3 linked regions of the Caenorhabditis elegans genome follow. The protein of the gene in region 1 interacts with the protein of each later gene in a pairwise test. Each region holds a gene or a part of one and is shown on either strand. Other genes may lie near its edges. The genes, in order: gsp-1, knl-1 and mel-28.

Region 1 (9,789 bases):
CTCATAATTTACGTCCAATCACAACTTAACTAAAGGAAAAAATAACATTTAAAAAACCATGTTTACTAGAGCTAAAGTAAAATTTAAAACCATCTTGGTTAAAATGAAGTTTACCTTTTATAGGCTGAATTATACATTTGAAAAAACCCACCAAAAAAGCAATAATCTTGTCGTCTGATGATTCCTCTCTGTTTTTCTCTATCTAAGCGAACTGCAATGGGCGGAGCTTTAAACAACTGGAACATTTTCAATTGCAAATAATGTGAAACACAGTCAATGAGACCGAGTGGCAACAATTGAAGGAAATAATGTATTTACTTGTGAAATACTCTCGTAAACTCTCAAAGTTGTCTGCGAAACGGGCAAAAAACTGTTCGAAGTTTTTGCGACAAACTGTGAAATGCTGCTCAAACACGTCTTAACCTGTGTGCTCCGTCTCGTATTACGGCACTGTAGAGCAAACTATGAGTTCAAACCACACACATATTAAGAACTTTGAGCATTTTGAAATTGGAATGCGAGGATTTTATTACACGGCAAGATTTTGCGATCTAAAAAATAAGGTCCCCGGTCTCGACACGACAAACGTTCGTTAAATGCGAAAAGGCGTGTGCCTTTAATAATTACTGTAATTTCAAGCTATTGCTTCGGAATTTTCATTAATCATTCATTGTTTGAAGAAAAATTTAATCAAGAAAACGAAAAACAAAGCATATGAATGTTAAAAAATCGTGTGAAACACTATGAACAATCTATGAAAATTCCGAAGCAACAAGAGTTTGATATTACAGTATTCATTAAAGGCGCACACGGGACCTCATTTAATTCGCAAAATCACAACAAAAGTGTTTTTTGTTAACTTTTCCTTAATAAAGAACAACACAATATTCCCAGATGTGAAAATTGTAATGACGCTGGGATACGGTACCCGGTCTCGTCACGAAAAAATGTTTTAATAAAAGCTGCGAGAAAAAAGACTGCGCCTTTAATGATTACAGTGGCGTCCATTCCGTTCTGCTGTAGAATGCAATTTTCTTCGATTTTTCACATCTTAAGATTCCTTCACATTTTTCTGTAAAATAGTTTTTTTCACATGCATACTTTAAATTTCTGAAAATAAGGAACTTTCAAAAGAAAATAAAGCGAAAAATTGAAAACATTGTGCAGCAGTCAGAAGTGTAAACTACTGTACTCTTGAAAGACGCACACTGCTTTTCACAGAAATCATTAAAAAATATTACAGTCGTGCCGGGTCCAGGTATCGTATTATTGAGTCGAATGGTTTATAAATAACATTATTTTGGCGACGAAATCCATTCTGAAAACTACCAAATAGAATTTTTAAAAAATAATTGCCCAGTTTAAAGGATTATGTGTTGCAGTTATTTCTGAAATATTAAATTTCCCTGATCTTGATTTAATGTTTCAGAAGTAATTGGTTTCCCTTGGCAGGATTCCTTCTCTTTATTCTTTTTCCATCCAACGAACATTTTATTTCTATTCTTGTACTCATTCCAAACAATGTGATTCATACTTTTTCCATTATTTTTTTGCCTGAAGACAGTATGTGTTTTATAAATACTTTGACCAAACACACACACACAAAATTTGAGTGACTGGTTCTTGCGCAAGAGAAACCTTTTGGAAAAAATATTCATTGGAATCAGTTGGAGGAAAGAAAGAAGGAAATGGGGGCGAGAAAAAGGAACGGGGGGAGCTGTCGAGAAAAATTCACTATTTTCGAATAAAAACCATAGAAAATTATCAGTGTGCGTGTTGTTGGGGCGGATCAGAATTCAATATTCTAAAAAATAAGAACGAATTCGCTCTCGTACTTTCAGAATGTTTGTGTGATTAACATTGTAAGAATAAATAAGCTGCAACTTTAAATCGGAAGGATTTTGATCCCGGTGTGTTAGGCTCACAACTAAGAATAAAACAGGATAAGAGCAAATGGAAAAAGAGAGGCAATCAGAAAAAAAATATATGAGAAAATTTAGCTAAAAATGGAGAACACAGAAGGAGAGAGAGAAAGATTTGCAATCTGTACTCGCCAGAAAAATTAAATTATATTCGATCGAGTACAGTTGCACAAAAATAGAAAATCAGAAAAGAAAATAATAATGAAGAGCATTTAAAACTCGTTTTTGTGCGGGGTGGGGTGTATTGAGGGCGAGAAAATAATAAAATGTTTGAGATAAAAGAGAAGGGAAATTCAAAAAAAACGGACAGAAAAGTAAAAATCCGAGAGAAATGAGTAAAAATGTAGGCAAAAATGTTCTTTCTCCTCATCACTTTACTTCTTACCAGCAGTCGTTCCAGGCCGTCCTCCGCCCACTGCTGGTCGTCCACTGTTCATTCCTTGATACTGATATTTCGCTTTTTTCTCCGATGGTTTCAGAATCTGTAAAATAAATAATGAATCAAATTTTTCTAATTTATTTGAAAAAAAACAATTTCAGTCTTATCCGATCAAAATTAATTCTATAAGCTTTTTGAGTATAAAATTATCTAATAATCACTGATGGTTCAGTTTGGTCATTATTTCCCGATAGGTTCAAGAGGATATTGGAAGAAAAAGAGTTTTGACGTAACATGGGATGCAACTACTTGAGTTAGATTGTTTTTTCGGGAAAAGAACAAATTGTCACTAACTGAACAATTATCAACATTATATATTTAAACATTTTAAATTTTTTCCGAAATGTAGGATTTTAATAAAGAAGTACCGTTTGATGGTACTTTTTCTCTCATATTTTGATATGGAAAAGAAAGAAGATGGAAGGTGAAATACTAATACAGCTCATTTTCGGTTCCTGAGATTTCTAAGATTTACGAAAAATTATTGATTTTTGATACAAATTTCACGAGATTTTGTGAAATATATTCAAAATTAAAGAATTTGATAGTTTTTTTCACGTGAAATACACAGCCACTAGCATTCTAATTTTCTCGATCATTTTAATACGAATTTGTAAATATGCCGGTGCCGTTTTTCTCTAAAAAGGTTCATCTCATGCTAGATTATTTCTTGATGTGATGCGAATGTTCAATGAGTTCCCAGCCAAAATTAAATTTGAAGAGCAGGAACTTTTACATAAATTCGATTTTCAATCTCACGAGGTTTCAATTTTTCGAAATCGGTTCCTCTTGACCAAGGATGCCCGACCCCTAATTTAAAAATCAATTGTAAACACATTTAGAAAATTGGTTTCTGATTTTCCATCTTGTTTGAATTTATTCCATTTCGGGGATCTGGAATATTTGGAAAAAGAATGAAATTGTTGGAACGTGTATTGACCCACGACGTGGCTAAGAAGATCGTATAACGTGAACTCTATGAACTAACTTATTTATTCCTTAGTTTAGTAATGTAATAAACTACTCGTCTTCTCTCCTTGTTCGGCCTTCGAATACATAACAGAAATATTCTTACCTGGAAACTGCACATTAATGTCTCATCAACGCTCATCATTCCACCAGCGTTATCGAATTCTCCACAATAATTTGGAGCAGAGAATAGTGTGACAAGTTGTCGCTTAGCAAAGAACTCATATCCATCTTCGACGACCTGATGAGCTCTGCATATCAGATCCAAATCATGTCTGTTCAAAAACTTTGCAACGACATCAGGTCCAAATGTGAACGAGACTCCTCTATCATTTTCTCCCCATCCGGTAACATCCTTGTCTGGATCAGACCAGAGCAAATCGCACAACAATCCAGTATCAGGAACATCGGTTGGTCGCATCACACGGCGAATTTGTTCCATATTTTGGAGATCTGGGGAGAGTCCTCCGTGACAGCAGAAGATCTTCTCATCAATGAGTGCAGCAATTGGAAGACAGTTGAAGCAATCGGTGAAAGTTTTCCACAATTTGATCGAAAAACGTCTCTTACCTGAAAATTATTTGGTTTAAAGACTTTTCAATAACAATTCCAGCAATTTTTACTTCTAAAAATTATTAAATTAAAATTTGAGGACCTGGTCGTTTTTTTTTGATATTTGATGAAAATTTGAGTATAAGAATCTGAAAAAAAGAGAAATAAGAAAATCTTCAAAATATACTGATTTTTTCAAAGAATTCAGTAGCTATTGTTCTCCAAATTTTTACATTGATTGAAAATTGTAATTATTCTGTTATTTTGAAAAAATAATTGACATAATTTTCCTTTTTTAACTATCGAAATTTGCTGATTGAACTGGACAAATTTTAATAACCCAGAATTTAATGGAATTTTTCGTTGAAATATAAATTAAAATATACACAACCGATGCATGGTTATTAAGAATCTTTTTGTCATCCGGAGAAAGTTTCTACTTGATGTGAACGGGCGTATGAAAATTTAAAAAAAAGCGAATATTTTGTTTTGGAATAATTTGTTATTACGTATCCATGTGCGGGTGAGAAAAATCGCCATATCTTAAGCGCAAAAAGCACCTGCGTCTCTTTTTCTCGCATGCTATCTAACGCCTATGCAAAACGCCTATGGCGAGAGAGCGTGTGGAGAAGAGAGACGCAGGCGTCTCCGCAGTTTTCATCAAATCATGGACACGTAATATCTCAATTAATATTTCGAATTTTCTTTAAAGCAAAAAAAAACCTTACATTCATCGTAGAATCCATAAATACGGTTAATTGAAGCACATTCGTGGTTTCCACGAAGAAGGAAAAAGTTTTCTGGATATTTGACTTTGTATGCGAGCAACAAGCAAATTGTTTCCAAGCTCTGCTTTCCACGATCGACATAATCTCCGAGGAACAAGTAATTGGCCTCTGGTGGGAATCCTCCGTATTCGAATAAACGGAGCAAGTCGTTATATTGTCCATGTATGTCTCCTAAAATTAAATATTTCTCATTCATATTGAACTTTTAGAGAAATTAACATTCTAAATTGTATGCTGCGAAACTTTTCAATGACATTCGGACTTTTTTTCCAATAATCACATACGTTCAGTGATGTTTTTACTAAATAATTGAACTATCTTTGAATTTTTAGACAGAATTTATAAATAATCGAAGACTATTGACCATATTCTCTAGTCGTCTCTTACATTGCAGACACAAAAACGGTTTTTGAATAATAAAAAAACTCACCACAAATCTTGAGAGGTGCTTCGAGTTCCAGAAGAATTGGCTGTGATAGGAAGATCTCACGAGATTTATGACAAAGAGCACGGATCTCCGCCTCCGACATGGTAACTGGCTTTCCTGGACGACATCCGCGAACTGAAAAATAATTTTATTGAAAAATCAAATTAGTCACTTAAAATAAGCTTTAAAGAGAATTAGTAAAATTTTAAATATTAATTAAATTTTTTACGACCGTAAAAATCGGAAAGTGGAAAAATGACAGAAATTATTGAAATAAATAGTTGCCAACCATAATAAATAATGATAATTGCTATATTAAACAAAATTCCTCAAAACCAGAATATTTGGAATTTCTAGTCGGAATTTCAAACAAATAAAATTCAATAAAATTTCTGAACAACTATACAGCTGGTTTAGTTCGAATGTCGATATTAGATCAATTTCTCTATTAACTTTAAAACCCACCTTCAAGAAGTCTGGTGATCAGATTGTCAATGTTTAAATCTCCATCGTTCGACATTGTTTTTGCAGCTGCAATCTCCGCGGCTTCTGTTGGTCACTTTTGATGGATGGCAAGTGATGTATGTTCTTGCAATGTTTTTGGCCGACAACTGATATTGGTTGTGGCTGAAAGATAAAAAATTAGTAACGTTGGCGTGAGAATTTAAAAAAAACTTCAAGGAAAACGTGAGAAAATTGATAAGACTAAGCTTAAAAAGCATCAAAAAACAACAGCAGTAGGATGTGATGCGTATCATTACAATTCCAAGAGGAAAAATGCAAAAATGAGAATTTTATCAAGAAATTGTAATGCGAATATAATATAGTTTTCAAATTTCCTGATTGGATTATATTTTTGAAGAATAAAAACCTTAAAGTGATTTGTTTCAATCGGAAACTCGATGACGTGATGGACACAATATTAAAATGTTTGAGAAAGAAAGAACACATGGTTTTTAACAATCGATATGCAAATTTTGAATTTGAAAAGGCAACAAACGCGTGTCGTGAAAACAAACAAAAAAACTGAATTATGTGAAATTTGTGCTATACTGTTTCTAAACATTGAAAATAGAAAACGAGCAACTGATGCCTTGAAGAAAAAAGTTTGTTGGTGTACTAAGAGAAATTCCTTCGTCCTGTGGTAGCAAAAGACAACAAAAAGAATTGGGGAGCAAACTGAGACCATATTCACTTAAACACCTGCGTCTCTCAAATTCGAAACGTGAATCACCGCTTTATGCACCTTGAGGCAAATCGAAGCTACTCTAATACTCTTTTTTTTTCTGGCCAATTTCAAGTTATACACCTATATAGTTTTATCGGAAAACGGTAACGAGACGACGCCCGTTCCTTCTCTTTGCCGTTATCAACGACCCCGAGGAGGAACATGTCATAAACACGACACCGTCGTCACAGCAGGCGGATAACTTTACAGCACTAGAAAAAGGAAATGGTGAAGATATGATAGAGAGAAAACAGAAGCTTTCAAAGAGAAACATGTGTGGCTGTAGTCAAGCAAAGTAGGTTCATCAATAGTGGAGGAAAATGAGGAGATCGGGATGAAATGCCGCGTATAAAAAGAGGAGCGAAAAGTGACGACGGACTGAGACGCATGTGTATGTGCCTGTCCCTATGTGTGAGTGTACGAGTGGAGCGAGAGACGAACGCGCGCCGATCCACCGGCCACTGCCCGCAGTATTGATCGATAACTCGCCACCGTCGTTTCCATTCTTTCGCCGAAACAATTCGCAATGTTATTGCACTACCTCCGGTGGCACGTGCGATATTGGTTCGACACTACTGACATCGTGTAAGACGTCATGGAATCAAAAACGGCGACAACTTCCGAGAAGGTTTTCTTATCACACTTTGCGCATAGTCTGTTATCTTTTGAAAAGGGTAACGCTTATTCTTGTGAGAAAAAACAACAATAAAAAACGGCTAGAGAAGCTTGAGGTGCTCTTTCTTTCTCTTCTCTAGAACAAATGGGCAAAACGAGATGTACAAGTATTTGATTTGCACGCAGAACGTTTCGAAAAGAGGAAACGACGACGAGAAAGAAAAGATTGAGAAAGGCAAACACTTCCTGTGCGGTAAAGATATACGACATTCCAGACTTTTTTCAAACAACACTTAATAAACAATTTTTTATTATTAAGCATAAAATTATGACAAATTGTATGTTTCTGCCAACAAAATGTTACAAAAAGAACTATTTACGAGCCATAAAATTTCGTAATTATTTTTCTTTTCATTGCGCGGTGTAAAACTTTTCGATGACTAATATAATGTTAACAATATAAACTAAATGATAACACATGTTATTCATATTTTAAACCAACTTCTTTTCTATTCAATCGAAATAAATAAATTCTGGAATAAATACCCCAAGAAGTCATTCAAATCACCTTAAGCCTCTATGACATTACGGAAAATAGTTATATCAAACGAAAATTATTTAAAAAAGAATAAAACTACTTGATTTCGTAACATAAACAGTTTCATAAACGAAAAAAGCGATGAAAAACATTCAAAAAATGCAATAGGACAAAAATTATTTTGAAAGTCCGCAAACACTGTTCACAAGTTGACGCACAATTGCACACAAAAAACCACCGTACTAGGCTCCTTTTTTGGAGATTTGTGAAAATTTCGGAATTACGCTTTCAAATAAACAGCTAAAAACAATTATTAGTCAAAAACTTTTCTCACGAAAATTTAGTATCATGTTCGAGCTTTGATTGAGGTGAAAGAAAACGTAAGCACATGTGAAAAAGATCGAGAGAAGGCAAAATAAGACCGAAAGGAAATGAAAAAAGAGGAGGAAAGCAGGGACGGACGGGGCAACGAGATGCTCACGTTGAGATGAGGGTCTCGAATTCAATTTATTGAATCGCGCAGAAGCAGAAGCAAAAAAAGTTGTTGACTAAACAAGTAACCGCAAGTTTTTGAGAGGGCGAAAAATAGGAAGAAAAACGAAGATGACAAGGCGCAGAGACCGGGAAGAAAAACCGTTTCTTTGGGCTCGAAGGAACGCCTTGTGCTGGAAAATAAAGACTGATTCAATCAAATGTTACTATATATGAGCATACAGATGCAATTAAGATTTTTCGTATAAAAAAGTTTAGGTACATGCTTCTAATGAAATATGTAATGAAAACAGAATGTGATTTAGTTATTCAACATACTGTAGCCGCAATTAATAAGATCACATTGAAAATATGTATCGAAAAAGTCTATGGCTAGAATCATTCGTTATTTATTTGCTATCTGCTTTCAAATAGCGCTGAGTCGACTCAGTAACTACGAGATAGAACAGAAGCCTTCAAAGACAAGTACGGTAATTGTATGTTTTTTATCAGTTGATGATTTTCAGCTAGCTTAGCTTAATTTTTAGATATTCGTGAGCAAAAAGTGAAAACTCAGCAAGTTTTTGAAGAACATTGAATCAGCTGTCCAAAAGAGTTCGTGAGTGGGAGGAGTATCAGTTTTTTAAATAAAAATTCTATATAATATTCAATCACCATATTCCAAGAAATTTTTAATTTAACATTTTTGGCTCTTTTCGAATGAATCGTTATTATAAAGGCATAAACAAACATCTCGGGAGTTTAAAATGGGAAATAACAGTGAATTCGTTATGAACTGACTGTCTCGTCTGTATTCGATGTGAAATTTCCCAATAAACGATGGGAAAGTGTCGGAACGAAGCGATAGTATAGCAATAAGGTCAGAACAATTGACGAGATTTAGAGAAATATACATCTTTCACATCACCAGCGGCAACATTCGGAATGATTCAAGTCATTCTCCGACCACTTCCTCCTAATCGAATTACGAAGAAACGTTCTGTTTCTTATTCTTCCAGATGACCAAGACTAAAAAAGAAAAATGAATCCACAGAAACAGAGAGAAAGAGAGTACAATGTGACGGCTTCAGAATACCTAATAGTAAGCATAACAGACGTTTATTTTAAATTTCAAAACACTTCAGGACCAGAATACACAATCAAAAGACACAGGTCATATAAGTCAATGTTTTGTGTAACAATGAATAGAAAGACGTGTGTTTTGTGTTGAAAAAGGGATAAAGATCAAGAGCATCGGAGACACGTATCGATTTCACTTGTCTTTTTTGTTTAAAAATATTGAAATAAGAAAAGGTAAGTAACAAAACATACTTCATCTTTTGAACTCATTGAACACGCCACCGTCAACTATGAATCATAGAATAGGCCAATTAAAACGGAAACATTTATACAAAATGTAAGATTTAAAGTTGGTTTGTCACTTGTGGTCATATTGTTTTTTTGTTGAAAATATATTTAATTTCCATTTAAACACAAAATGAAATTTCAGGCTTAGACTTGATTTTTTCTAAGTCTCCAAATAAAAATAATGATGCCATAAATGATCATGTTTTGATTGAAACAAAGAATTACAAACATTTTAAGTGTACAACTACAATACCCAAGTGCTTTGAAATTCGCCCACCGGGTTTATCAACTTTGGAACTAAATTTGATAAATACCAAGAAATAATTAACGCCCACCTGTATCTAATAAGGAAATGTCTGACAGACTATATATCATAGAACAAATCTCGAATTTAATGCTTTCACAATTATTTCTAACAATGAAAACAAACCAATTGTAAACCCATCAAGTAAGTGGAGTGAAAAAAATGAAA
Region 2 (8,906 bases), on another chromosome or scaffold:
ATCATTCTCCGTGGTGGAGCCACTATCGAACATTGTTGCCACGCCCTTCATCGTTCAATTGCTGCTCAACTCCGGTATGCCATCGTCTGGGGAACATCGACGAAATTCTCTCCGCAACGTGTCGGTCTTCATCATAAACTCGACCATGAAGATGTGATTCAGATTGTGAAGAAATAATTTTGTTACTACTGTTTAGTTTTTTAATTATTGTCTTCATAATTATTGCAAATTTCCGTTCTTTTTTTCTTGTTGATTTTTCCCAGCTGGCACCATGCGGTGATAAATTTTTATGTGTTTCATTCAACAGTTCATTCGTAATTTTCGGTTTTTTCCTTAAAAAATATTTGTTTTAAAGATATTATCCGAATTAAACTTTACAAAAATATCCAGATGAGAAGATTACCCTGGCTGATCCCATTCTTTCTCGTAAATATTTCAAACGGAAACAACGAATTTCGAATAGAATTTGAAGTAAGCTGAGCAGTTTAATTTTGATTGTGATTTCCCAATTGCAGTATCCAAATAATGAAAAGTCGGAAAAATGCTTTGATTCATCAAAGGAAAATGACTTATTAGATCTTTTCTATGTATCAACAAATCCACTTGGACCTGTCGTCGAATGTCGTTTTCTTGAGAATTCCTTCATTTTATGTGAGGATCCAGTTCCACTCTACGGCCCTGGACAAACGGGACAGCAACCAGCAAATGAGAGTTTTCGAAATGAAGGAAAATGTCTGAAAATGGGTGGATACAGAGCAGAGGACGTTGAGTTCACGAATGTCAAGTGCCGAGTTCTTCCGTGTATTGAATGTCATGGACCAAGAACGTTTACAAAGTCAACACCTTGTATAATGTAAGCTTTTTTTGAAGCGAAACTCAACATTTTATTTTGATTGAAATATAAATAGCTATTAAAACCTGAGTTTCAAAAAAATTCTGGTCACACTGGTCTCGGCACGACAATTTTAGTTAAATGCAAAACGGCGTGCGCCTTTAAAAAGTACTGTAATTTCAAACTATATTTACTGCCGCAAATTTCGCTGCGGAATGTTCACAGTTTTTACGGAGTTTTACTATAAAATTTATGTGAAAGACTAATTATTTATTTTTGAAAACACTTAAATTTTCACAAATCGAAAGAAAATTTTTTTGTTAAAATTAAAGTGTTTTCATGTTATACATGCAAATAAATAAATAAATAAATTTTATTAAATCAGTTTTCACCAAAAATATTTAAAAAATCGATGAAAGTTCCACATCGACGAAATTTTGAAATTACAGTACTCTTTAAATTCGCATTTAACAAAAAAGGCGTGTCGAGACGTGGTACAGTACTCTTGCCGCAAAAGTCGCAAAATTTCGCGTCCGGGGTTTATTTTAAAAAAATTATTTAAAACTGACACAATAAAGATGCTCCTACGAAGAGATTATATGATTTTTGAAGTATATTCAGAAAAAATATAAATTTCATATTTTCAGATACAATGGTCACTACTTTCTCACAACTCTTCTGTATTCCATTTTTCTCGGTGTGGTTGCTGTCGACCGTTTTTGCCTGGGATATTCTGCAATGGCTGTCGGAAAACTAATGACTTTGGGTGGATTTGGAATCTGGTGGATTGTCGATATATTCTTACTGGTACTTGGAGTACTCGGACCCGCGGATGACTCGAGTTGGGAGCCGTACTATTAAAAGAAATTAACTAATACGAGTGGAAAATTAATTGTTTATTGGTCAATATTTACAACCGATCTCATATTGTCAAATCCAATCATTGCGGCAATTGTGTGCTAACTGTCACCTGTAAAATTTGTAATTTCCTTTGTCATTTACTTTATAAAGAAAAATACCTTAATCTTCGAAAGATCACGTCCGTCAATTATCTCACTGAAAATACGACTCATCATTTGAGCCAGCTTATCTGGCCGTTCGTCAATGATTGGAATGACAGGAGGCATTGCTGCTCTGAACTTTTTGATTTTTTCAATGGTTTCTTTGGAACGATAAGGACCACTGAACACGGATACCTTGTTCTGAAATTGGATGATTAGAAGGATTTACTACAAATTTGAATATTTACTGGAGCATTTTTGACGTTCAGAAGTTCAGCTGAGAACGGTTCATCACTGGCATCCCACTCTCCTTCAGTGCATTCTGGCAGCTGTTCGCCCTTATCTGGAAATTAAACTTTGTATTGTCCAGATGCGAAAACTGTAAAATAGCTTGGAGTTGGGTTACTGTAGTCCTTAAAGCCATACGCCTGTTTTCTAACTAAAAACGCTGCCTAAAAATATTTCGGTCGTGTCGAGACCGGGCACCGTACTTCTCAGCGTAAACTAACAAAATTTCGCATCTGTGTAATATTGAAATTTCATCCTTACCATCATCAGTAATTTGAATCTTCGGCAACTGTCGAATAGATTGCTGAACACTTGGTGCTGGTAGTTCCTCTTCTTTTTCGTCTTTTTTATCTTCTTTCTTTTCTTCTTTGCTTGGTTGCTGCTCTGCCATTTTTTGCCTCTTGATTTTGATTTTATCGTTTTGAAGAATAAAATTATTTCCTTTTCAAAAGATGTTTTTTCTTAATTAAAAGATTTCGAAAAAAAAATGCAATACACGTAATTTTGAGTTTTCACTTATGGAAATGTATTTTACAAATCATTTTCAAATACAAGATGGACAACAAAAAGAAGGAAGAAAATCCTAGTAAATCTGATACTTCTATAAGCCGTGAGTAATATATATAACTTTTCGGTTTTTTTTTTAATAAAAAGTTTTAGTTCCACCAAGCTCAACTGGAGAAGCGCTTCAAAATTATACAGAATCGGAATGGAACGCATCAGATGATCCGTATTCTGCAGAACTTCTCAATGTGAAAAAGAAGCCGGTAATTTTTATTTTTACGTAGATTTTCATTAAAACTTTTCCAGAATCGAGTTAATGTGTTCTCAGCAACTGAGAAGAACATGGAAACTATAATTGTCACTGAAGAATCTCCACCACAAACTCCATTGCCTTTAAGTTGAGAAATCACAAAATTCTGGGAACTTAATTTGTATTGGTTTAGAGCCTGTCGTAGAACACCACAATTTGGCTCGATTGATTCAGAAATCATGTCAATTGCTCTTGGATAAAACTACACCAGATGGAACAGAAGTGCAAATAAAATTAGAATTCCCTGACTGGAGAGATACCGCCTGATTCTCTATGTGTTGAATAAAGCTTAACGGTTAAAAAAAAATTAATTGAAATCTGCCTGAAAAAATATCTAAATACAGTACTCACAAGAGAAACTACGGATTTTGAGAATTCGAATTTCGTAGAAAATATTTTTGCAATGTGTATCAGCTGTAATGGTACATATATTTATTTATTAATATTGAATTTTATCTAATTTTTGAAACAATTGGTTTTTTAAACTATTAAAATTGTATTATACTGCCCCAAGTTAAGGAATTACTCGTAGTGTGCGTTCTACGGAACCGGTGGTGTGTCGAGTGCAGCTTCGCTCCATTGTACAAGTTCAATTTCAAACAGAGATTTGCCGCCAAGCAAAACTGCCTTCGTTTACTTTTCACTTTTTTACTTTTCCCATTTAACGAAGTTTATGCTGCCGTTGTTTTGTTATTTTTTTAATCATAATTTATTACCATTTTTAAAACATATTTACAGCCATGTCGATGGAGCCTCGTAAGAAGCGGAACTCGATTCTCAAGGTGCGGCAAGCCGTCGAAACCATCGAGGAAACCGTCATGAACAGTGGGCCTAGTTCCACAACAACTAATCGACGAGTCAGCTTTCATAACGTGAAGCATGTCAAGTCAGTTAGAGTCAGTGAATAATTTATCAATAAAATAATTATTTCAGGCAGTATGACAGGGACCATGGTAAAATTCTTGACGCCACACCAGTTAAGGAGAAGATTACTGACACTATTGGATCAGATGGTATTTTGACGTGAGTTCCATCCTTTAACGTGAAATAATGAATACGTAAAAATCTTTTTAAGACCACGTGGCGGAAACATGGATATTTCCGAATCTCCGGCCTGCACGTCCTCATTTCAAGTGTTCGGCGGTGGTAATCTCGATAAAACTATGGATATGTCTCTCGAAACAACTATCAACGAGAACAACGAAACGGCGAGATTGTTTGAAACCACAAGAGATCCAACACTATTATACGAAAAGATCGTCGAAACCACAACAAAAGTTACCGAGCGAATTGTTAGTATGCCACTGGATGATACCTTAGCAATGTTCAATACAACGAATCAAGAAGATAAGGATATGTCAGTTGATCGTTCAGTTCTTTTCACGATTCCCAAAGTTCCGAAGCATAACGCTACAATGAATAGAACTATACCGATGGACCTCGATGAATCAAAAGCAGCGGGCGGCCAGTGCGATGAAACGGTATGTTGAATTAATAGAAGGAACCAAATTATCTTAATTTTACAGATGAATGTGTTCAATTTCACAAACTTGGAAGCCGCTGAAATGGATACGAGTAAATTAGATGAAAATAATACCATGAATGCTATCCGGATTCCGATTAATTCAAACGTCATGCCTGTAGACATGGACATCACTGAACATCACACTTTAATTGAAGAAAAGAAAAATGATACATTCGGGCCAAGTCAACTGATGGACATTTCGGCGCCACAAGTTCAAGTTAATGATACTTTGGCCATTTTCAACAGTCCGAGAGACATCTGTAATAAGGGTTTGGGTGTTCCTCAGAATCTAATAAATATCGCCTCGAACGTCGTACCTGTGGACATGGACATCACTGATCAGGCCGTATTAAACGCGGAGAAGAAAAATGATCAATTCGAGACAAGTCAGCTTATGGACATTTCTATTCCGAAAGTTCTAGTAAATGACACTATGGCGATGTTCAACAGCCCGAAACACGTCAGTAAGAGCAGCATGGATCTCGAGAAAACGATTGAAGCCGCTGACAAATCAACGAAATACCCGAGTATCGCAGATGAGGTGGAAGATTTAGACATGGATATGGATATCACTGAACAACAACCATGTGAGGCTGGTAATCAGCAGAACGACGGCTTGCAACTTCAAAAGGAGGATTTAATGGACATTTCGGTGATTCGAGATTCACCTGCAGTAAACGACACCATGGCTGTGTTCCAGAGTCCTGCCAGAGTAAAGATCGGAGCGGTAAGTTTTAAGCACACTTTCCAATAAAAATGTATTTCTTTCAGAACAACTCGATCATTGATTCGCAGAAATCTATCGTGTTCGGTGACGAAATGAGCATTGACGAGACACAAAATGATGGAACCTTGACGTTGCCAAAGTCGAATGTAGAAGTGACTACAACTAATGATGTCTACACGTCTCTCGAGCGGCAAGAGGAAAATGCTTCAGAAAACGTATCCATGATAAACGAATCTTCTGTTCATTCGGAAATCGACAAAAAGTCGTTTATGCTCATCGAAGAAGAAAGGGCTTTTATGCACTCCTCCATGATTGATGTAGCACAAAAGTTGGAAGACGATGGTTCGTCGAAGACGCCAGTCATCCTTGCTTCACAGTCAGCTTCTCTTGCCACTAAAGAACCATCAGCCCTTCACAACTCGAGTGCAACTCTCAACAATTCGATGGAATTGGACAACAATACTCTTCTTAAAACTATGCAAATTACAACGTGTGAAGACATTAGCATGGTCCATGAGTCTATTGCTGTTGAACTGAACAGTAACAAAGAGCAGGAGCAATTCGGAGATGAGACTTTGCAGAAAAATGGTAAATTTCGTTTATTCAATAACTCTATTAAAAGTATGTTTTAGATACCTCGAATACTGGCGCGAATTTCACATTCCAAGGCCATAATGAAACATCGCAAATCATGAACAATGTCGACTCGGAAGCAGTGAACACGTCCAAGATTTCAACATATTCGGCTTTCAATTTGAGCATCAACCAGTCTATCTCTAAACGACGTCGATCTCTTCTGAATTCTGCTCGTGAATCTCCTCGTCGTGTTGCGTTGGAGAATTCTATAATGTCGATGAATGGGCAAACAATGGAAGCTCTGACAGAATATCGACAGAATAAAACTATGCAGACGAGTCAAGATTCGATGCCGAGTATGAGTTTGAACGATTCGGGAAGAGATATTCTCGCGATGGTAAGAATATCTCTTTGAGTATTGAATCGAAAATGTCTTTCAGAATACATCAGTCCGCTCTCCTCATCTGAATTCTTCAAAAACTGCTGCCCCAGGAACACCATCATTGATGTCACAAAATGTACAACTTCCACCTCCATCTCCTCAATTCGAAATGCCAGACTTCGATCCAGCTGTGGTCAACGTTGTATATTTAACATCTGAAGATCCGTCCACTGAACAACATCCAGAAGCTCTCAAATTTCAGCGTATTGTTGAAAACGAGAAAATGAAAGTACAACACGAGATTGATTCTCTGAATTCAACCAATCAACTTTCTGCTGAGAAAATTGATATGTTGAAGACTAAGGAGCTCTTGAAGTTTAGTCATGATGAGCGAGAAGCGATTATGATTGCAAGAAAAGACGCGGAAATCAAGTTTTTGGAGCTTCGTCTGAAATTTGCACTCGAGAAAAAAATTGAAAGTGACCAGGAAATTGCTGAACTAGAACAAGGAAATTCGAAAATGGCTGAGCAGCTAAGAGGTCTCGATAAGATGGCTGTCGTTCAAAAAGAACTAGAAAAGCTGAGAAGTCTTCCTCCATCACGCGAAGAGAGCGGGAAAATCCGAAAGGAGTGGATGGAGATGAAGCAATGGGAATTCGACCAGAAAATGAAAGCACTCCGAAATGTACGCTCAAACATGATTGCACTTCGTTCAGAGAAAAATGCTCTCGAAATGAAAGTCGCGGAAGAACACGAGAAGTTTGCCCAGAGGAACGATTTGAAGAAAAGTCGAATGCTGGTGTTCTCTAAGGCTGTTAAGAAAATTGTGAACTTCTAGTGAGTTTAATATCGAAAAATTAACAGTCAAAAATTATAATTTTAGATGCCGCCTTCACCCTTCCCTTGCATCAGGCCTACAATACTTCTGATGCTCATATAATTCTTTACCTAATGTGCCATATATTTTAGTTTTTTTTTCATCTAAAAATACCCATTGTGCATCAACCGCACTTGCTGTATTTCCTTCAAGATGTTTACCTTTTCCCCTATACATTTATGCCTCAGAGCAATCACAAAGTTATGTTTTTATTCCTAGTTCATTCTCAATCAATCTAAAGGAGACTTATGGTTTGAATAGTCAAATGAATAAATATTCCTTGTAACCAAATTTTTTTGTAGCCGTGTTTTTTTTTGTAAAATGAAGTTATTGTGCGTTTAAAAATCGGAGTTTAAAAAATCGGAGCTTCAGTCTCCTCTCTTAAAAATAATTTTAGCTTACTATTTACTACTGTAGTTCCAAATAGAATATACATAATAAGGCGGGTAGGCAAGAGTTTGACACCTCGGGAGGTACATAGGTACGTAGGTGAGCAGTAAGTATACAAATTTTTTAAAGTTTTACTTTGATTTTTTTAAGTTTTACTTTGATTTTTTTAAGTTTTACTTTGATTTTTTTAAGTTTTACTTTGATTTTTTTAAGTTTTACTTTGATTTTTTAAAGTTTTACTTCTTCTCAGTTTTTAATTTTTATGTGGAGGCTTTGAAAAACAAAAATAAAAATTTGCAAGGGCTATTGAATTTGCCAGAAAAAAATGAAAACTCCAAAAAGTGGGCGTGGCCTGATCAGCCATTTGAATTGTCTTGTTGTAAAATTGAGAAAAAATAATATTTTTATAACATTTTGTACAGTTATATTTGGTCATTACGACCTAGTTGTTCCACTGTTAAGAAGAATCTAACATATAGCGCGAGCTTTCTAAATCAACCTAATAATGAAAATCAGAAAATAATTTTTTATGCACTTGAAAACTTCACAAAAAGCTAAAATTCTTAGAGAAGTTCTGAATATGATCATTTATCATGTTTGAAATGGAGCACTTGTTGCTCTTTTTGTCATGCTTGTCCATGTTGGTTTCTATTGCATTCCAAAGTGTGCTTCTTCCTCTTATTCTACATCTCTTCTCTTTTTTTCTTCTTTCTTTTCTTTCTTTCCTCCACTTTCGTTCTTTCTCTGCCAACAATTTCAAACACCACTCCCTTTTTCTCGTTCCCAAAAGAAGGTCCTTCTCCATTTCAGTTTTACCAGCAGCTGCTCCGTCGAGTCCCTCATCTAACTCGTTTCTTTTTCCCTCTTTGTCCCATTACTTTTACTCATTACGGGACACGACTATGGTGAAATTAACTGAATCGGCTGTATATATTCGTACAAAATGTTCACTAGAGAATGTGAAAAAGCTAAATTTATGGTAGGTTGAAAATTTGAATTTTTAACTCAAAGCAATAATTCCAAAAAAAAAAAAGAAAATTAGTATTCTGTTTCAGGGGGTGCGGAATCGATGACATTCAAGTATGTGAGAAAATGAGCCTTCTGGAAGTTTTATCATTGAGGTAGGTTGTGTCTCATATTATGATTTTCAAAAGCTTTTTGAAAATCTAGATTATTAGTTAGATGTTCCTTTTATAGATGGGGAACAGTAAGTGAGGATTTAGTTTAAAAGCACTTATGAAGGCAAACATGGCTGAATATCACAACAAATTTTTTGAATTAAAAAAAATCAGTCATAGTTTTGGTGAATTGCAAAATGTATCTAAAACCAGGAAAACTTTCTGGAATCTTTTTGTTATGCTTTGAAAAATCTGAAAATCATTTCACCAATATACTCCTTTCTGGAGGATTTCTTTGTGGGAATCTTTTTAAAGTTCCTATGATCATTTTAATAAAATAGTCTTCATTTAAAAGTTCCAAAAATTACCTCATAAT
Region 3 (11,473 bases), on another chromosome or scaffold:
GGGCACGGCCTGACAATATCGCGGAAAAGTTGCGGAGCGAGCATCATATTCTGCTGAAAACATAATAGTTCACTAAATATATGTGTTGAAAAAGACAAAAAATAAATAAAAAATACCAAGCCGTACGAAAAACTTTTAAAATCTGGTAGCAGACTACGTTCAAAACGACAAAAATTGTAAAAAATTGTGCCGGCACATAACATAAAACTTTTGAATGTTGACTTTTAAAACTAAAAGTTACGGTCTTCGCGGCGAGATCTTGTACATAAAAAAGTCAATGTACCTTGAAACCGTATTAATTTCAAAAATATGCAACCCTGGCACGCTTTTTTTGCAATTGCGGCATGGTCTTGCTAAAAAATAGCCTTCCTCATGTGGTGTCAGAAAGTCTCATTGCAGTTTGATCTACAAAAAATGCGGGAATTTTTTCCCAGAAAAATTGTGACGTCAGAACGCTCTTAATCATGCAAAATCAGATAAGATGTCTGCGTCTCTTCTCCCGCATTTTTCGTAGATCAAAGCGAAAAGGGACTGTATGACTCCACGTGGCTTCCTTAAACCATTCTTCAGTTTCAGCAAACCGCGGCCGATATGCTCAATGATATGCACATGGCGGCCAATGGAGATCTGCTTTCCAGCTTCCCACAGGATTTCCTTGAAGACTCTGGCGATGGAGAAGTTCACGAGGCGGCCATCCTCTCCGTTTTCGATGACAATTCGAATAGCCCGCCACCGTGTCCGATCGTTGTCGACACTGTACCAGACGATGATGACAGTCTCTTGTTCCCAAGAAACTCATAAATTATTTGATCTCCGCTGTTTCTTTTTTTTTTCGAAAATCCGATTTATATAAAGTTTGAACATTATCTTTATATAATGGATAGTACAACAAAACTCTCTTTAGAAATATATATATATAAAAAATATGTTAGAAACACTGAGAAGCTCACGGTGCATCGAAAAAACCTTCAAAACGACGAAAATTCAGAAGAATAACTCATGGTGCATCGACAAATTTTCTGCATTTGCAGAAAATCCCACAAAAATGAAGAACATCGAGAACAAAACTCATGGTGCATCGACTAACAAATTTTTCGGTCAAAAAAATCTGATAAAATATGATGGCAACAGACTTCCTAGAAACACCTGAATTTCGCCCGTAAAAAAATGAGTGCGCCTTTAAGAGCTACAGTAACCCACTAAATCCACTAAATCATTAAACTGAAAGTTCCTTGATGTCGAAAGAGGAACAAAATTTGACAAAAAAAAATTTATTGTCAGAGAAAAGTAATAAAAGTGAAATTGTGTGGGGAAATAAATACGGACGGGGAGTTTGAAAAATGAATGGGACTATACGAGGTCATAAATAATACAATTGTGGGGAACGTTGAGAGGAGTTGAGAGGCGGTCGGGGGCTCAGAAGAACTTCAATCGCGTGGCTTGTCCACAGTGACGACCGCTTCCGGCGCTGCTTGTTCCGATGTCCACTCCTTCTTCTTCTTCTTAATCAAGGACGGTGGGAGCGACGTATTTTCCGGGGTGCCTGGCATTGGCGATTGCTTCTGAAAATTTGAAATTTTAGATAAAAAGATCATGAGATTTAAGCTAACCGGAGTCTGGAGCTTCTCCTTGGTTGCCTTTTCGGTGACTGGAAGCATCTGAGCTTGTTGGAGCAGTGGGACCAAGTTCGTCAAATCAGTGGACACCTTCGGGGCTTTGCGCTTCGACGATTCAGCCGCCATTGATCTTCCCTTAATCTGAAAACAAAAATCGTTGTGAGACCCAGCGTGTGCCTTTAGACTTACATGAGATCCCGGTGTGAGGAGAGCGTCGGTTTTCGGCGTTTCCTTGGTGGGTTCTGGCAGCACTGTCTTCTGTTGTGGCTCCAATTTCACAGAGAACACGTCCATCTTCATGTGCACCGGCGACGTCAATTCAAGCTTCAGCTCAAGACGGGCATCGCTGAAGATCTCCTTCGCCAAGGTCTCCGATGAGCAAACGAACGGCGGTCCATCATCAAGATATCCGTGCAGGAAAACCTTCTGCTCGGTCATTTTCTCCACATGATGTTGCACGAGCTCCAAAGCGTACCGCGCCTTTTCCTCTGTCGTCACCAGCGGCGCAGGGAGATCCAAATCATTGATGAGCGAAATGAGCTCCTTTCCACGTCCCCAATTGTCGGCGATCACTTGCAAGTGACAGCTCATTGCTTCTTCCTTTTGAGCGGTCTTGGTCCGACTCTCGTATGGTCCGTTGGTCGAGCCTGCTCCGAGGGCTGGTGTGATGGGCGGGGCCACCGCGGATCGTCGTTTCTCCATCACTTTTGTGACGTTTCCATTGGGAGTCTTGCTCTCTGCTACCACATACTGAAATTTAAAACTGCGTTTTTTCAATTCTCTTTCAATGCTAATAATTCCGTTTTTACGTCGTGGCCGCGAAATGCGAAAACTCGGCCACCTTCAAAGATCTTGGCCGAGCTCTCGCTTTTTCTAGGCCACGTTGCAAAAAAATCGATAATAAAACGTACCGGATTCGCGGCAATTCCATAAGCCAACCGCTCTCGGCGTTCCTTCTCCTCATCCTCGTGCTGCTGATCGTCTTGTTCTTCTCGCTTCCTAGCCGCCATCTGCTCAGCGATGAGCTCCTCAAAATATTTCTTCTGCTCCTGAAAAGAAGGTTTCGTATGTTGAAAGTTGTCCACGTGTAGTACGCAATTCGCTTTTCATTAAATATAACTTAAATCAATAAAAAGCTAGGCCACTGGCAAAATTTCACTTACCCTCGCCTTCTGATCCTCGAGGTAGAAATACAAAAAAATGTGGAAAATGACGAAGGCGATCAGGATGCCATATCCGATGTACTTCGGCGTGTCCTTGTGAACATTGATCGTGTATGCACATGACGGGCAGTGTGTGCCGTTTCCATTTTTGCAGGTTTGAGGGCTCGCCGAGCTCACAAGAGCAAGCTGCGTCGTATTGGCGGCAGGAGCGGTCACGTTTACATTTTTCGTCGGATTGCCGGCAGGAGCGGTCGCATTAGGACTTTTTGCCGAATTGCCGGCAGGAGCGGTCACGTTTGAAGTGTTCGTAGCGGCGGAAACAGGCACATTTGGTGTGGTGGTTGTTGGCTGAAAAATGGTGAAACATTATGGTCTAGAAAAATCGAAGGATGTCTAGGCAACTCACCAATACATGAACTATTAATCCGAAGATTACCAATGAAAACAAAATACGCAAAATACGCATTTTTGAGTGACGCGTGTGTCGGAGAGAAACCGATTTCACAAACTAATTTAAGTTATAATTTGTTTATTTCAATCGCTACGTGTGCCGTGTGCCACGTGGCCACGCGTGAGTAGGGGCGGGGCCTATTTCGCAACCACCGCACACTTTTTTCGCAAGCCTCGCACGTTTTTCCATGATATTGTTGCATTTTTCAAAAGAAAAAACGTGCGAGGCTTGCGAAAAAAGTGTGCGGTGGCTGCGAATAGGTCCCGCCCCTGCATCCTGTTTTGGGTTCCTTTTTGTTTGTTTTTTTTTCGCGGATGGTTAATTTTGTTTTCGAAGAATTTCTCGTAAAAAGTTCCTTTACAATTAGTCAAATTTTATTCACTCAATAAACAAGGTTTTTCTTCAAAAAATACAAGGTTTCGCGATGCGCCTATCATTTTATCATTTCTTGAGTAAAACAGTCTTTACGCTCGTTGCTCCAAAAAATGTATGTTTCTTAAGGGTTTCCATTAATTTTTTAGAAGTCATTTGAAAATGCTAAAAAGTTGGTTTACGTCATTTTAAGTATGTGCTTCTCTTAAGATAATGATGTAATATGGATTATATTCCAATTTAAATCATTCAAATTGATTTTTTTCATTTAAGAATTCCATTCAATTTCTACATTCTTCGTTGCGTCTTCTAACCTTTGCAAGCATTTTCCATTTTCGCTTGTTTTCGCAGTCCGTATGTTTCCGTTGCGGTGTTTGCGTATTGGTGAAAACAAATTTTCCCGGTCGTTTGAATGTAGTCGGACGAGCCCTTATTTTAAGCTACGCACTTCTAAAACCACTTATTTTAATTGATAATTTCTTTGTCTCACTTCTTTAAATGTTATTTATTAGCTGCGATGTGCAAAGGTTTATTTTTTTTCAGAATGGATAATGAAAATTCGTCCATTTTCAAATCATATCAAGGATACGAGTGTTGGAGGGGAGAAAAGCAAATTATTTTGAAGGATTCAATTGGTATTTCATATTTCTATCGATTCAACATTATTCTATTCATTCAGGTCGTCAACTTCCCTACATTGTGAATTTTAAAAAGAATACGTGTCAAATATTCGATATCGAATGGGAACGCGTAACTCACTCGTTCGTTTTCCCTGAAGGATGTGCTTTGATCGATGCGGACTATTTTCCAACAGAAGGTAAGTTTTTTATTACTATCATATTTTCTTTATTGATTTCAAAATATTTTATTTACAGAAGGAAAGCTCGGAATTCTTGTTGGTGTTGAAGATCCTCGTCAGTCGTGCGGTGCCGAGCACTTTGTTCTTGCATTGGCAGTTGATCCGGATTCACCAGCCATGACAATCACACACTCACTGGAAGTTCCATCGAAAATTACAGTTGTGAAGACGCTTTTTTCGTCTGCCGACATGGCTGATGAAACACAGAGAACAGTTTTAAAGCTCTATCATCGACTGATGACGTGGCAGCATATTGTGGCAATTGGTAATAAATCAAATTTGAATGAAAACTTTGCAAATTTACATTCCAGGTTGCAAGGAGACACAATGCTACTTAGCTCGTTTAGTTGCTGTTGAGACGCCGTCAAGTCCTGTCATCACAGTTCACAGTGAGAAAAAGTATTTGATCAACCTAATGAGTAAGTTTCCCGAAGATTAAACAAATTTGATTAGTGTGTTTCAGATGCTTACGTCAGCGGTTCAGTTCTTCAGTACACTTTGGACGATGGAGCATATCGTGAATACCCAACCGCCGCCGTGTATATCTCAGCGTTATCGTTGATGCCAAGAAGTCGAACTCTTCTTGTCGGTTTATCGATGGGAGGCATTCTGGCAGCTTCATTGAATCCTTCAAATCAGATGATGCTTTTGGAATTGAGACACGAACGACTTGTCAGAAAAATTGCTCCATTAGAACCAGAAGATGATCCCGACAAATTTGAGTATTTCATCGCCACTGTTGATTGTTCACCTCGTCATCCAATCATGATTCAACTTTGGCGTGGATCTTTCAAAACTCTCGAGGATGTTGATGGAGAAGAAAAGTACGACCGTCCATCATTCAGTGTTTGTCTAGAACATAAGATTTTGTTCGGAGAAAGATGGTTGGCTGTGAATCCTATTGTTACTGAAAGAGATCATATGATGCTCACAAGAAAGCGAGGAACGGAAGATTCGATGCACAATGTTTCTCAGACATTCGGATCAACTTCTAATCGAAACTCTGTTCTTTTGGCATACGAACGAAAGAAGATGGTGATCGGCACAGAAGACCCGAATGCTGAACCAGAATACATTGTGGAAGCAGCTATTTTTGATATAGATTCATGGTACTACAAAAGAGTTCCCGGTCGAGTATCTACAGATGGAACTGTTCTCAAGCAATGTGCATTCTTATCAACTATAAAGTCTAACATCCGATCAGAAGATGTAAATGACATCGGAATTCTTACAAATGAGGCCACTGATGTATCCAGCTTCTCTAGCATGGTTTCAGACGCAGATCAACTGTTTTATCCGTCAGCATTAAGCTTCGAAAGGGTTTTTGTTGCCAAGAATACCAGAATTGACTGGATGAAGATCCAGAACATCCAGGACACGGTAAATTTATCGGCATTGAGATTGTTTTTATTCCGGTTTTTTTTTCAGATTTTGAACAAATGCGCCGTCAAACTGCCTGCTCTCATCAGGAATCCCGAAATGATTTCCAGCGTTGTTATGGCAGCTGGTTTAGTGAGAAAAAATATTCTGTCTGGATCTCCCAATTCGGTGAGCTTATTTTTTAAAGTTAAATTGATGAAATTGTTTTCAGAGCGCCGCAGAAATAAACGAACTTCAATTATCGTCTGATCAAAAGGTTCTTCTCAACGTTATCGTCTACTACGGAAAAATTGAAGAGTTTTGTCAATTGGCATCTCGTCCTGACATTAGTGACACGCTAAAACGGGAATTAGCAGAATGGGCACTTCACGAAGCTGTTGACTACAAGAGAACTATTTCTGACAAGATGGTTTCACTCTTCCAGGGAAGATCACTTGCTCTCTCTCCACTAGCAGAAGAATCTATTGCACAGGGAATCAAGCTTTTCCGAGTTGTTTACGAATATCTGAAAGCCTGTTCAAAAGCGTTAAAAGATGATCGACTTCGCAATTTGGCCCATTCTGTGATATGTATGAGAAACCATACGAAACTTACCAGCCAATTCATCAATTTTGCCATCATTCCTGTAGACCCGATCAGACAGCAAAGAATGAAGGATTTACATTCAAAGAGAAAAAATATGGCGAGAAAGAACTCGTGAGTTTAGAAAAATCCTTTTTAAGAAAAAGTTATACGATTAAATTATTCAGATCATCTCTACCCGTTCAATCAGTCGTTCGAAAAATGAATCGTCAAGCTCCAAATGCTCAATTCTGGAACGATATTCCACATGACGAATGGTATCCGCCAACACCTCTCGATTTGCTGGAATGCCTGCTGAATGTTTCGATTTCTGAGAGTATTAAACGAGAACTCGTTGTCCAATATGTCATTGATTGGATTTCCACATCTCCTGAAGATTCTGAACACAGCGAAAAACAATTGGCACTTGAAACTATCAAAATCATGACAAATCAAATGCTTAACGTTAACTTGGAGAAAATTTATTACATTCTGGACCAAGGAAAGAAGGCTTTAACAAGCAGCAAGACATCGGATGATATGAGAGCACTTGGAGAGAAAGTATTCTCAATGAAAGATGACGAGATTAGTTATGAGAAATTGTGGGGAAAAGATGCTCCGATGACAGTGACAATCGGAAAACACGATTTACAGCGATTTGAACAACGAATGAAAATGCAAATGGAAGGTGGAAAAGTTAGATGTGAGATAGATTTTCAGTCTCATTTCCAATTAATTTTTTTTAATTTCCAGTGCCAGTTCTCGATCCGGAATCTGAGATTCTCTACCAAATGTTTCTCTTTGAAAACGAAAAGTTTGAAGCAATGTCATCAGAAGCGATTAGTTCCAACAAATTGCTATCGGCTTTCCTGCCAGGAATGATCAAGAAGGATGGAAGAGGTCGTCAGAAGACTGCGAAAGAACAGGAAATCGAAATTTCAGTTAAGAAAATGTTTGAGAGAAAGGTGCAAAACGACGACGAAGATATGCCTGAAGTTTTCGCTTCTGTCAATGACAAAACAGAAAGAAAGCGGAAATCAAGTCAGTTTGGTGAAGACGATGAGAGTAGTGTTTCGTCATCACAATATGTGCCACCTGTAAGATTATTGCAGTTAAATAGTACAAACCAAGATTCTGAAATTTACAGACCGCGAAGAGAATTCAACAGTGGAAGAGTGCCGTCGAATCTGTTGCCAACAATTCGAGTATCAACAGTATCACAAGTCCGGATTCTCACCAAAATGCAGAAATCAATATGATGATTGCAACACCGGCACGGTATTACAAGCGACATAATGAGGAGGAAAATGTTCAAGATGGATTTCTATCGCCCGCTGGAAACAGACCGCCGCCAGTCTCTGCTCACAACAGTATTCTGAAAACAGCTAAAGGTGGCCAATCGGCTAGTCGAGGCCGTATCCGATTCCGTGCTGACGTTCCAAGAGGTGCTGACGAGAGTATTGAAGACAATGGTCGGAAAGGCCTTGCATTGAACTTTGCAATTCTTGAAGATGAAGAAGAGGAAACCATGACTATTAGAAAATCACGGTCTATGGGAAAACATGACGAGGAGAAGGATTCAGAGAAAAATGTAGTGGATGAGATGGAAGAAGTAAAAGATCAAGAACAAGAAAACGATGAATGCATTGAAAGTGAGAAAACTTTCGAAAACCAAGACGATTTCGAGGTTCTCGAAGATACATCTGCTCCAGAAGCTGCAAATACAGAAAATGGTTCGGAAACTCCTCCCATGGAAGATACGTTTGAAGTACGAGATGATGACGTCATGCCACCAACCGATGAGACATATTTGAGTCATTTACAAACCGATAAAACGGGTATTCTTGAGGAGGAAGGTGAAGATGAAGATATATGGGATGGAGTTCAAAGATCTTTCGAGGTTCAAATGGATGAGGATTGTGAAGCTGTACCAACGATTGATGTAGCCGATGATTTGGAGAGTAAATCTGAAGAAGTGAATGAAGAAGAGGTAGTTGAATCTGAAGAAGTTCAGCAAGATGCGAAAGAACCTGAAAAAACTGAAAAACGACAGGAAGAGCCAGAACCTGAAGTTATGCAGCCAGTGATTCCGGAAGAGCCTCAAAACGAATCTCTCGAATCGTCTATTAAACTGCAGGAAGAGTTACAGGAAGAGCCTGACATAGTTCCGACAGGTGATGAAGATACCGCGGATAAAGTTCAAGAACAAGCTGTTGAGGAAGATAGACCACCATCTGTAAGATACCATAAAATAAAATTTGAGGAAAAACGGCAATAATTGTATATTTCAGAGAAACACTCGCTCATCATCTGTCCAGAAGTCTACTTCACAAGTGGAAGACCGGGATCCGAAAGAACTTGTCGAGGAAGAAAGACCTCCATCTGTCAGTTTCGTCATCAATTTGACAGACAGAAATAAAATTTATGTTTTCAGAGAAACACTCGTTCTGCGTCTGTTCAAAAATCATCTAACCAAGAGAAAACTTCGGAATCAGGAGAAGTCACGGAAGAAGATAGACCACCATCCGTGAGTTGTTTTTAAAATTTGAAATTTATATGTGTATTTTTCTAGAGAAATACGCGGTCGGCATCTGTTCAAAAATCTTCATCAAAGGTAAAAGACCAGAAGCCAGAGGAACTCATCGAGGAAGATAGACCTCCATCAGTAAGTCTCTCGTGATTTCTTTAAAAATTTAGTTCAATATTTCCAGAGAAATACTCGATCCGCATCAGCCCAGAAGACAGTGGCAGCAAATAAATCTGTTTTGGAGTCTGAAATTCCAAGTCGTTCAGCGTCACGAAGAACTCGCTCCACATCGCTTAGGAATGATACTGTTGCCGAACCAGATGAGACGTCGGTTGCGATGACAACTCGGCGTCGGACTCGGGCAACTTCTGAGGTTGTTAGCAAGCAGTCGTCTGAAGATGATGGAAGATCGACACCAAAAACCGGAAGAACTCCCACGAAAAAGGCTGCAGCTAGTACATCTTCTAGTAGAGCTGGAAGTGTAACTGTACGTTGTTTAATCGTTTAATCATACAACTATTCGAACATTTTCAGCGCGGTAAAAAATCGATCATCCAAAAGATGCCATCCCCGCTAGAGGTTACAATGGAAGTTCAAGAAGAAGAAGAAGAAGAAGCGGAGGAGGAACGGCCTGCATCAAGAAGCACTCGCTCTGCATCTGTCAAAAATACAACTGTTGACCCATCGTCATCTGCACTTGCTTCTACCAAACGTACAACTTCTAGAAAGAGGGGCAATTCGGAAACGATCGACTTTAATCAGGACGACAAATCGGCACCGACGACGCCAAAAAGAGGAAGACCCGCCAAAAAGGATGCAGGATCTCCTAAAGTTGGAAGTAAAGCTGTAAGCATTTTTAATTATTTTTTTGAATTAAAAATGTTGTATTCATAAATTGTAAATTGATTTGTTTTCGTTTCAGCGTGGCACCAAGCCTAAATCGATATTCGAAAATCAAGAAGATGAAGAAGATCGTTCATCCTCTCCAGATATCGAACAACCAGCCACACCTACACGGTCTTCCAAACGAACGGCTAGATCCAGAGCAAATTCCGAATCGATCGATGATGATAGCAAGCAGAAGACCCCAAAAAAGAAAAATGCCGCGGTTAATGAAGCTGGTACCAGTAAACAGTCTAGAAGTGTGACGGTATGATCCCAAAACATAATTTTTTTTCAAAATTATTATTTTCAGAGATCTCGAGCATCATCTATTGATGTACAACAAGAGGTGGAAGAGCCAACCACTCCAAAACGCGGAAGAGGAAGACCGCCCAAAACCGTTCTGGAAAATATTGAAGAGGGTGAAGAAGAGAGAAAAGAAACGGCTGCGGTAATATTTTCAGCAATACGATTTCTCAAACGAGGTGTTTTATTTTCAGACTCCTCTACTGCGTTCAGCTCGCCGTGCTAAACAATAGAGGTCGAACACAGCTCAAATTTTAACTATTTGTCCTTATTTATTTTATTATTTGAAATTCTTCAACTGACACATGTGAAATAAGTTCCAATAAAATTGTTTGGCATTAACATTGAATTGGAAATAAAGCAATAAAGGTGCATAGAACGGAGAGTTCAGGATGGCGTTATAGTTTTTAAATTTCAAGCAACAAATTCGATAATTTAATTTTAACTGGAAAATGTGAACGATTGTTCCTAGCATGCGAAACAGGTGTTTATACCACATTTAAAAAATTTCCAAAACGAAGCTCTGCAGAATTTTTTCTAATTTCTCGTGGTAATGATGAATTATTATTTAATTTTGTTTTTTAATGCACCAATAAAACGTTTTTTCGTGTAGAAAAAAGACGGCATTGTTAAATATATTCTTCACTGCAAAAATCCAATTTTATAAAAACTAATTTAAATCTTTCGAAAGGTTACTGTAACAGTCATTTGCGTGTGCATTTCTACGCAATATGTGGCGCCAAAAGGCTTGTCCTAAAATTCGGCTACCCATTCTAAATAAAATGATTCTTCGCAGTTGTTCTCTGTTAACAGCTTGTTTTTTTTATGTTTTGATGATATTTTCATGTTAAAATAATAATTTTAACGTTGTTCATAGACGTTAGCATGTAAGGACGATCTTGACGTATTGTAAACATCTGTAAAATTAGTTATCCGTGCATCAGACTGGGTCTGAGTCTTTTTTACAATTTACTGTAACATTTTTGTATCTTTTTCACGTTAATACTTGATCAAATTGTAAAATGTTCTCTCAGAAGTGACATTCACTTGGCAAATGACGGAAGCTGACGATCCCAAGAAGAAAATACGCGCGCGCATCGAGCGCGACGTGTACAGTGTTCTGCTATCATTCCAGGAAGGAGCGACCCCAAATCAAGTAGAAAGGAGAATGGAGTTTGTGTTTCGCGGCATTATTTCTCAAATTTAATGTATTAACTATTTAGCGACACGCTTGGCTACACATATGTTGGAAAATATGTACAGGCTGGTGTGAGAGATATGGCTCAACTTCTGCGAGAGCACAAAGATGTACGACAAAATTTATCCGGAGTTTTCAGTGTTGTGTGAGAAATATAT

What was found.
Region 2: the proteins of gsp-1 (region 1) and knl-1 interact in a two-hybrid assay, tested with the Caenorhabditis elegans proteins (2 studies listed by BioGRID).
Region 3: the proteins of gsp-1 (region 1) and mel-28 interact in a two-hybrid assay, tested with the Caenorhabditis elegans proteins (one study listed by BioGRID).

Annotation. Positions count from the first base shown.
Region 1 is NC_003283.11:10,678,357-10,688,145, reverse strand, and holds gsp-1 (Serine/threonine-protein phosphatase PP1-alpha), read right to left. Parts: upstream 5,725-9,789; 5' UTR 5,618-5,724; coding exon 5,563-5,617; intron 5,233-5,562; coding exon 5,101-5,232; intron 4,842-5,100; coding exon 4,611-4,841; intron 3,901-4,610; coding exon 3,437-3,900; intron 2,405-3,436; coding exon 2,297-2,404; 3' UTR 1,641-2,296; downstream 1-1,640. Other genes in the region: F29F11.20 (uncharacterized protein), read right to left, coding at 152-245. UniProt on the Caenorhabditis elegans protein: Serine/threonine-protein phosphatase which antagonizes the function of air-2 in the regulation of chromosome cohesion. Dephosphorylates histone H3 at 'Ser-10'. Dephosphorylates translation initiation factor eIF2alpha.
Region 2 is NC_003281.10:8,246,961-8,255,866, forward strand, and holds knl-1 (Outer kinetochore KNL1 complex subunit knl-1), read left to right. Parts: upstream 1-3,671; 5' UTR 3,672-3,675; coding exon 3,676-3,821; intron 3,822-3,868; coding exon 3,869-3,958; intron 3,959-4,010; coding exon 4,011-4,416; intron 4,417-4,461; coding exon 4,462-5,187; intron 5,188-5,231; coding exon 5,232-5,775; intron 5,776-5,819; coding exon 5,820-6,160; intron 6,161-6,203; coding exon 6,204-6,983; downstream 6,984-8,906. Other genes in the region: putative GTP-binding protein C02F5.3, read left to right, coding at 1-177; TM2 domain-containing protein C02F5.13, read left to right, coding at 391-471, 516-853, 1,480-1,693; C02F5.10 (uncharacterized protein), read right to left, coding at 1,773-1,802, 1,852-2,034, 2,082-2,176, 2,383-2,512; C02F5.2 (DUF5356 domain-containing protein), read left to right, coding at 2,677-2,731, 2,782-2,888, 2,932-3,022, 3,069-3,202; F09G8.5 (leucine-rich repeat domain-containing protein), read left to right, coding at 8,015-8,391, 8,468-8,533. UniProt on the Caenorhabditis elegans protein: Acts as a component of the outer kinetochore KNL1 complex that serves as a docking point for spindle assembly checkpoint components and mediates microtubule-kinetochore interactions.
Region 3 is NC_003281.10:4,781,935-4,793,407, forward strand, and holds mel-28 (Protein mel-28), read left to right. Parts: upstream 1-4,145; 5' UTR 4,146-4,146; coding exon 4,147-4,237; intron 4,238-4,281; coding exon 4,282-4,419; intron 4,420-4,477; coding exon 4,478-4,726; intron 4,727-4,772; coding exon 4,773-4,880; intron 4,881-4,924; coding exon 4,925-5,841; intron 5,842-5,889; coding exon 5,890-6,009; intron 6,010-6,052; coding exon 6,053-6,537; intron 6,538-6,590; coding exon 6,591-7,105; intron 7,106-7,155; coding exon 7,156-7,499; intron 7,500-7,549; coding exon 7,550-8,638; intron 8,639-8,693; coding exon 8,694-8,786; intron 8,787-8,836; coding exon 8,837-8,929; intron 8,930-8,974; coding exon 8,975-9,067; intron 9,068-9,113; coding exon 9,114-9,416; intron 9,417-9,463; coding exon 9,464-9,775; intron 9,776-9,851; coding exon 9,852-10,079; intron 10,080-10,124; coding exon 10,125-10,262; intron 10,263-10,311; coding exon 10,312-10,350; 3' UTR 10,351-10,457; downstream 10,458-11,473. Other genes in the region: gex-5 (RING-type domain-containing protein), read right to left, coding at 1-47; C38D4.10 (WRKY transcription factor 14), read left to right, coding at 592-801; enu-3.2 (ENhancer of Uncoordination), read right to left, coding at 1,428-1,562, 1,611-1,757, 1,806-2,366, 2,528-2,665, 2,780-3,127, 3,186-3,245; mip-1 (HTH OST-type domain-containing protein), read left to right, coding at 11,172-11,290, 11,341-11,460. UniProt on the Caenorhabditis elegans protein: Nuclear envelope protein which has essential roles in assembly of nuclear pore complexes and in chromatin maintenance during the cell cycle. Appears to be a stable structural component of the nuclear envelope during interphase.